2 linked regions of the Arabidopsis thaliana genome follow. The protein of the gene in region 1 interacts with the protein of each later gene in a pairwise test. Each region holds a gene or a part of one and is shown on either strand. Other genes may lie near its edges. The genes, in order: ENA and EMB3003.

The links.
Region 2: the proteins of ENA (region 1) and EMB3003 interact in a two-hybrid assay, tested with the Arabidopsis thaliana proteins (one large-scale study listed by BioGRID).

Annotation. Positions count from the first base shown.
Region 1 is NC_003074.8:6,037,469-6,041,147, forward strand, and holds ENA (DnaJ/Hsp40 cysteine-rich domain superfamily protein), read left to right. Parts: upstream 1-1,939; 5' UTR 1,940-2,171; coding exon 2,172-2,306; intron 2,307-2,383; coding exon 2,384-2,480; intron 2,481-2,599; coding exon 2,600-2,654; coding exon of another isoform or gene 2,655-2,664; exon of another isoform or gene 2,665-2,735; coding exon 2,736-2,856; 3' UTR 2,857-3,165; downstream 3,166-3,679. Other genes in the region: AGD15 (ARF-GAP domain 15), read left to right, coding at 249-299, 391-449, 540-630, 713-767, 856-946, 1,042-1,243, 1,393-1,584; AT3G17670 (tetratricopeptide repeat (TPR)-containing protein), read left to right, coding at 3,389-3,679.
Region 2 is NC_003070.9:12,588,077-12,591,999, reverse strand, and holds the start of EMB3003 (2-oxoacid dehydrogenases acyltransferase family protein), read left to right. Parts: upstream 1-1,776; 5' UTR 1,777-1,915; coding exon 1,916-2,773; intron 2,774-3,004; coding exon 3,005-3,196; intron 3,197-3,287; coding exon 3,288-3,375; intron 3,376-3,477; coding exon 3,478-3,548; intron 3,549-3,664; coding exon 3,665-3,748; intron 3,749-3,868; coding exon 3,869-3,923. Other genes in the region: AT1G34440 (uncharacterized protein), read left to right, coding at 158-200, 573-652. UniProt on the Arabidopsis thaliana protein: The pyruvate dehydrogenase complex catalyzes the overall conversion of pyruvate to acetyl-CoA and CO(2).

The sequences.
Region 1 (3,679 bases):
AAGTCGGGTTTTCGAGAGCTAGGGATTTGAATTTATTGCTTTGCTTTGACTCCATGTTGGATTAAAAATAGAGAGATGATGTGTCGCAGTGACAGATATAAAAGGGTACGAGAAACCGTCATTTCTTTTCTCTCCTCTCCTTCAAATCCGTTCTTCCTTGAAACCATTTTGGCTCTCTGTTTACAAACTTGGTTTGATTTTTCAATTGCCTCTGTTTCTCTCTCATTCTCTGATTCATCTTCATCAGAATGAACAGGAAGGCCTCTGTTTCCAAGGAGCTCAACGCCAAGCATTCAAAGGTCCCATCTTTTTTTCTCCTCCTTTTCGATTTTTCACCATTGGTTTTGCGTCTGGAAAGTTGAAAGGTTAGAGATTTTGTGTGGGTTATAGATATTGGAAGCACTTTTGAAGCATCCAGACAATCGAGAATGTGCAGATTGTAGATCAAAGTAAGCATCTTGATAACATTATCTCTTTCATGATCATGTAAGAAAAACGATTTAGGAGCATTGTGTTGTTTGGATCTATCTATTTTACAGGGCACCAAGATGGGCAAGTGTGAACCTTGGGATATTCATTTGTATGCAATGTTCTGGAATCCATCGTAGCCTTGGCGTCCACATCTCTCAGGTCCCTAAATAATCTCTCTTTTAATTGATTGTGTTGTAAATGGATCATACAAATTAGGGATACTGATGAATTTTGGACACAGGTAAGGTCTATAACTCTGGATACATGGCTTCCAGATCAGGTTGCTTTCATGAAATGTAAGCTCCTCTTTTGTATATAATGAACACATTCAGTAGTTGAATTTTGTATCAATCCCATAGCTTGATCATCTTATTCTCGGTCTAGCTACCGGTAATGCTAAGGGAAATGAGTATTGGGAATCAGAATTGCCTCAACATTTCGAGAGAAGTTCAAGCGACACGTTTATAAGAGCCAAGTATTGATTCTTTTCTATGTTCGCTTTTGCTTCCTCATCTGCTACAACACAACTTTAGCTTGAATCTTTTTTTCTTCTGTTCGTGTGTGTTTTAGATACAGTGAGAAGAGATGGGTTTCACCGGGAGCGATTCAACCGGCTCCTATAGTTAGCCAGCTAAGCTGCAAAGTTAGTCACTTGGTAGAGAGTGGATATAAACCTGAAACTCCAAAGAAAGCTAGAACTCTTTCACTTGACGAAGAGATCCTTCTTCATCATGTTCTTCAAGTAACACCTCCAGAAACGAGAACTCGTGCGGTATGACAACAAATCTATATCTTTTTGGGTTCTGGTATGATCACTAGATTGGAAATTCATTCAGTTTCCTTGTTTGTCCTGTGGCAAGAATTAACAAAGCTTTTGTAGAAGGATTTTGAATCATTTCCATAAACTGTTGTGCAATGCAGGGTTCGGTAGATATGAAGGAGAATGTATATGTTGTACCTCTACCAGAATTCAAGAAACCAAATCAAAAGAATGAGAATTTCTCCAGTGAAGTAAACCAGAATAGAAGAACCACCATAGCACCACCGTCGAGCTGGGCTACTTTCGACTGTAAGGCCATGATTCAGGCTTTTCTTTTTTTTATCTTCTGTTAGTTTTGAGGTTTTGATTCTAAATCTCTAATGTGAAACAGGAAGAGAAAAGACTCTATGAAGACGAAGAAGATGGAGGTTTTGGAAAAACAAGAATCATCATGTGGGCTTTAATTTTAGTCAAAAGGTTGGCAAAGATGGGATGATGAACTCAAAGTTGGTTCTGTTTTCTAATTCTTTATTCATTCATAATCCAATTTTGGTTGCTTGTAACAAAATCATTTTTAATTCAATGGAAGAGAGACATCTTTGAGTATTTGACAAAAGAGAAAGCAAATACAAGTCACCAATGTGATTATTTTTAATTGCTGGACAAGTAACATCAATTGATTGGTCCACCATACTCCATAACAACCGTAATGATTTCAATAATCACTTTTGAGTTTGTGTTTTATTTGGTTTACACTTTACATAGGAAACGAATAAAATTAAATCAGACCTAAACACACTAACTCGGTCCGGTTTGGTTAATTTTCTTACGGGTTTATTGAGAGATGGGCCTTAGGCCCGAGAGAGAACACAAACTGGAATGAGGAAGAGGAACAGAACAGTTGTGGTGTGTTACGAGTTACGACTGAAGAGTGACGGAGATGGCGGTGAACGCGTGTCTATCTCCGCCGGAGATGATGGCTGTCCGGCCAGGGGAAGGCGTTCCGAATTCAAAATCTACGCAGGGAAAAACTAGGCTCTATCTCACCAAACCTTCATGGATAGTCAGAACTCAGGTCTGAAACCAAAAACCCCCAATTTCTATCTCTAGACTCTTGATATCATTAATAAGAATGAATTCAATGGTTAACAGTCTGGAGCTAAGACGTGTATGAAGTCGAAGGCGAAAGGACGATGCGTAATCTGCCATGGAAGTGGAAGAGTCGATTGTTTCAATTGTTGTGGGAAAGGTAAAGATAAATAACTTCTCTCTCTGGTTCTCAACTTTAAATGTCTCTTATGATTGATTTCTTCGTATTAACTACTTCAGAGAATTGAATTCTTGCTTTTTTGTGATATATGATTGAAGGGAGGACTAATTGTGTGGATGTGGAAATGCTTCCAAGAGGAGAATGGCCTAAATGGTATTCTTGAGGCTTTTATATCTGTTATTTGATTCAAGAACTAAAGGAGTTCAAAATTTTTTTTGGTTGTTTTGGTCACAGGTGCAAGAGTTGTGGAGGGAGTGGATTAAGTGACTGTTCTCGCTGTCTTGGCACCGGAGAGTACAGATACATCATGGGTTTCCGCTTCTTAAACCAAAACGATGATGCCGATCCACAATAATGATTTGGAGAAACTCTTAACGATCATGTCCTTGCCAGTTTTTGTATATGTCCAATGAGGAGGCTTAAGACTTGTTTAGTAATGTTGTATATGGTTGCTCCTGACTTGTTAATATTGTTTGTAATCTTCAAGGATGTTGTTGCAAGTAAAGAGAAATCACCAGTCTACAAGTTCTTTAGGAAGATAAATGAAACGTAGCCACCGTTAGTTTTATATTCTTAAGCTTACATTGCAAAATTGTTGTATCTTGGCTTTGTACTTACTAATGGTATATTTGGATTCTTTAGTATAATGGGAAGGTTCTGAGTCAAAATTTTAGTTATGAGCTGTCTAATTTGATTAAGAATTAGTCTAGTGATGTTTTATCTTCGGCTTTGAGTGTGAAACGAAGCAAAATGGGAGCTGATTAGAGTGTACAATTGTGATATCCGGTTTAGTCAAACCGGATTTAATACATTTTAATTTGATTATCTCGGTTTATTTAGTCAGGCGCGCATCTTTCTTCTTCTTGTGGTTCGATATTCTTATCGTTATGTCTTCCGTCGCTTTGCCGGCGATGAGCTGCCGGAGCTCAGGTGAACAAGTGAAGGAGATTCGCGTTTGTACGAATCGCACCTGCCGAAGACAAGGCTCCTTCCAGATTCTCGAGACTTTAACAGCTCTCGCACCTCCCGAACTCCGAGTCACTCACTGCGCTTGCCTCGGCCGATGCGGCTCCGGTCCAAACCTCGTGGCTCTCCCTCAAGGTCTCATCCTACGTCACTGCGCCACGCCTTCTCGAGCTGCTGAAATTTTGTTCAGCCTATGTGGTGACGGTCGTGAA
Region 2 (3,923 bases), on another chromosome or scaffold:
TTTCTAGTAAAAATTTAAAAAAAAAAAAAAAAAAAATTTCAGATTAGCGATTAACAGATGATAAACGGTGTCATAGTGTATTGATTATCAAAACAAATTGCAAGTGATTCATACTACGAACAACCGTTTGATTTTATTTTGGTGTGTGTTTGTTTAGAGAAGAAGAAAAGACAAGGTTTCTTCTAGAATTATCTATTCAGGTAAATAAACATTTATCTTTTCAATAAAATACAAAAATCAATCAATATGTGAAATGATCTGAAGAAAGTTTTGTGGGTTTCGGCCCAAAACAAAATTGTCATGTTATTCATTAATGGACTCCTAAATTATTCGTTGAAGCAAACAATTTTTGGCATTTTATTAGATATTCGATAAATAATCATAAATAATAGACTTATTTGTCTAAAAAACCACAAAAACAAATAAAAATTGTATGACTTTTTTGTGTTGTCGTCGTCGTCGTTATCAACCCTCATCATCATCATCACCAACGTAACCACCGACGCCATCATCATCGCCATTAACAACTGGATCTGTCTCCGTTTCCATCAAATCTCTTTCTCTCTCTGCAGATCAATTGATTTTTTACAACGTGATTGAAGCGGGGCTAGCTCCGGTGACGATAGTTGATTGGTTTTGTCCCTTAAGATGAGCTCCTTCAATGGTAACGAACGGCGTCGGCGGCCGTGAATCATGAGAGAGATGGCTCAGTTTCTTTTTCTTTTCTCTGATCTTCCTCTTTATCATCAGATTCTATCTCAGAAACTTATCAATGTGCGTTTGATTTTTTTTGCTTGGGTTCCCTTTACAATAATCATTAGGGTTTAGTTTTTGAATGGAATTCTCTTCCAATAAACAAAATATCATTAATGGTGAATAGTGAGGACGCAAATGATTATTGAAAAGCTTTGATTTCGAATACTCGATTGCAGATCTGCCACAAATCTGAAACTCTGTTTTTACTATTCACCTTCTTCTTCATTTGCAAGATGATTTCATTTCGTTCGTTTAATTTTTTGCTTTGGTTTCATAAATACTATCATCTTTAGGGTTTAATTATTGTGAATCAATGAATGTTTTTAGTTAGAATAGATTTTAAGAATATGAGATTTGGAAAAAAAATTGGATTTAAAAGAAGAGGAGCGTGCAAGAAGATGATGAGAGAAGATGATGAGATTATTCAGGGGTAAAATGATCAAATCGCCCTATCAAAACTACTCTTTTTCAAAGATCATACACAAAAGCCTCAAAATCAAAATTTTTATCAAAAAACATCCTCTTTTGACAATAACCCCTAAATAATATTATAAGTATTATACACTAATATTCTGCAACTGTCCAGATTATTTATCATTTACCAAAGAAATATATTAAAAATTATATTTATCTTTAAATTCAATATTTATAATGGATCAAACATCAAACAAATTTGTATACCGAAATTTTTTTAAAACACAAAATATAAGTTTCTCCTTAATTTTCTTTTATGAAATTTTCTTCTAAAAATAGAATAACATATAAAATAATACATAAGAGAGAAATCATGCTTTATTTTACAGAGAAAAATAGAGATTTACATTGGAGATAATCTTATATGAAAACTGTAAAAAACTATAAAATCAGGGCGAAAAATGTGTATGGTAAAAAAACTTAACATGTGGTTAAAGGTTTTAAAAAGATTACAGAATAGTTCTCTATTGGGCCTTCGAAAAAAGCCCAATACCCAACAACAAAAACGCGCGTGTATCACACCTTCAATACACTAGTAAGAGTCACACAGTGATCGTCACCGGTAAATTAGTTGGCAAACTCCGCCTGCTCTTCGATAATTCCGAGGAGCTTCTTCACTCTTCTTATATCTCATTTCTCTCTATCTCTCTCTCTCTCTCGCATTGCGATTAACGAAATTCGAAAAATGTCTCGTCTTCTCCAAACACCCTTCTTACCTTCAGTTTCCCTCCCCACAAAAACACGATCTTCCGTTACGGGTTTCCGGGTAAAGCCCAGAATCATCCCAATTCAAGCAAAGATCCGAGAAATCTTCATGCCTGCACTAAGTTCCACGATGACCGAAGGCAAAATCGTCTCTTGGGTTAAATCAGAAGGCGATAAACTCAACAAAGGAGAGAGTGTTGTTGTTGTTGAATCTGATAAAGCTGATATGGATGTTGAGACTTTCTATGATGGTTATCTAGCTGCAATCATGGTTGAAGAAGGTGGTGTTGCTCCTGTTGGTTCTGCTATTGCTTTGTTAGCTGAAACTGAAGATGAGATTGCTGATGCTAAAGCTAAAGCTTCTGGTGGTGGTGGTGGTGGTGATTCTAAGGCTCCTCCGGCTTCTCCTCCCACGGCTGCAGTTGAAGCACCTGTGAGTGTTGAGAAGAAGGTTGCAGCTGCTCCGGTGTCCATTAAGGCGGTGGCGGCGTCTGCGGTGCATCCGGCGTCTGAAGGAGGGAAGAGGATTGTGGCGTCTCCTTATGCTAAGAAGTTAGCTAAGGAGTTGAAGGTTGAATTGGCTGGTTTAGTTGGAAGTGGACCGATGGGAAGGATTGTGGCTAAAGATGTTGAGGCGGTTGCTGCTGGAGGAGGAGTTCAAGCTGCTGTTGCTGTTAAGGAGGTAGTGGCAGCTCCTGGTGTGGAGTTGGGATCGGTGGTTCCTTTTACGACAATGCAGGGGGCTGTGAGTAGGAATATGGTGGAGAGTCTTGGTGTTCCTACTTTTAGAGTCGGTTACACGATTAGTACGGATGCTCTTGATGCTCTCTACAAGAAGGTGAGTGTGTTTTGAAATCCGTTTGGTTGGTATGATAGAGTAGACTGGAGATTCCATTGATTGTGATAATAGTTGCTTGATGAAGTTTTGAACTTTGGGATGAGATTATGAGAGATAGCTAGTTGAATTATAAATGATAGTATCTTATGATGTGCATCAGAAGCATACACTAGTTACAAACTGTAAGTGTAAATGTTGATTTGGTTCACATTTTGTGTTTGGTTTGTTTAGATTAAGTCGAAAGGTGTGACAATGACGGCACTTTTAGCAAAGGCAACTGCACTTGCACTGGCGAAACATCCAGTTGTAAACTCGTCTTGTAGAGATGGTAACAGTTTTGTGTATAATAGTAGCATCAACGTTGCTGTTGCTGTTGCTATTGATGGTGGTTTGATCACTCCGGTGCTTCAGAACGCTGATAAGGTTCTTTTCTTTTGTATGCTTTATAAGAGATTTTGAGTTTACTCTGTATTCAAAACCGGTATCAGTGGGTTGTTCTATCTTTTGTAAACAGGTTGACATTTATTCGTTATCTAGAAAATGGAAAGAATTGGTTGATAAGGCTCGAGCCAAGCAGCTGCAGCCTCAGGAGTACAACACTGGTAATCCTACTACTAGAATATTGAAGTGATTTGAGTTTGAGTAATCCTTCAACTAGATTGTTTGAGTCTTGTTGTTTTTATTTCCCTTCCGGGTAATTGCAGGTACCTTCACTCTCTCTAACCTAGGAATGTTTGGCGTTGATCGGTTTGATGCTATTCTACCCCCTGGAACAGTTAGTGCTTTTACCTTTATGCGTGTATTTTAGTTTGTATCTTGGTTATGTCTTTTAGCCTAATAATTATGCTAAGGATAACAGCTCATTGGTTTTCTTGTCTTTGATCAATGAAGGGAGCGATTATGGCTGTCGGAGCATCTCAACCTTCAGTGGTTGCAACTAAAGACGGCCGCATTGGCATGAAAAACCAGATGCAGGTAAATGTTATTATCAACCATCGTTAGAACTTGTTCCTCTTCTCCTTTTTGTCTTCATGAAAACGTCTCGAGTTTTCCTGGGAACTTGTTAATGATGACTGGTCACTTGCAAACCCACAGGTGAATGTGACGGCAGATCATCGTGTCATCTATGGTGCTGATCTTGCACAGTTCT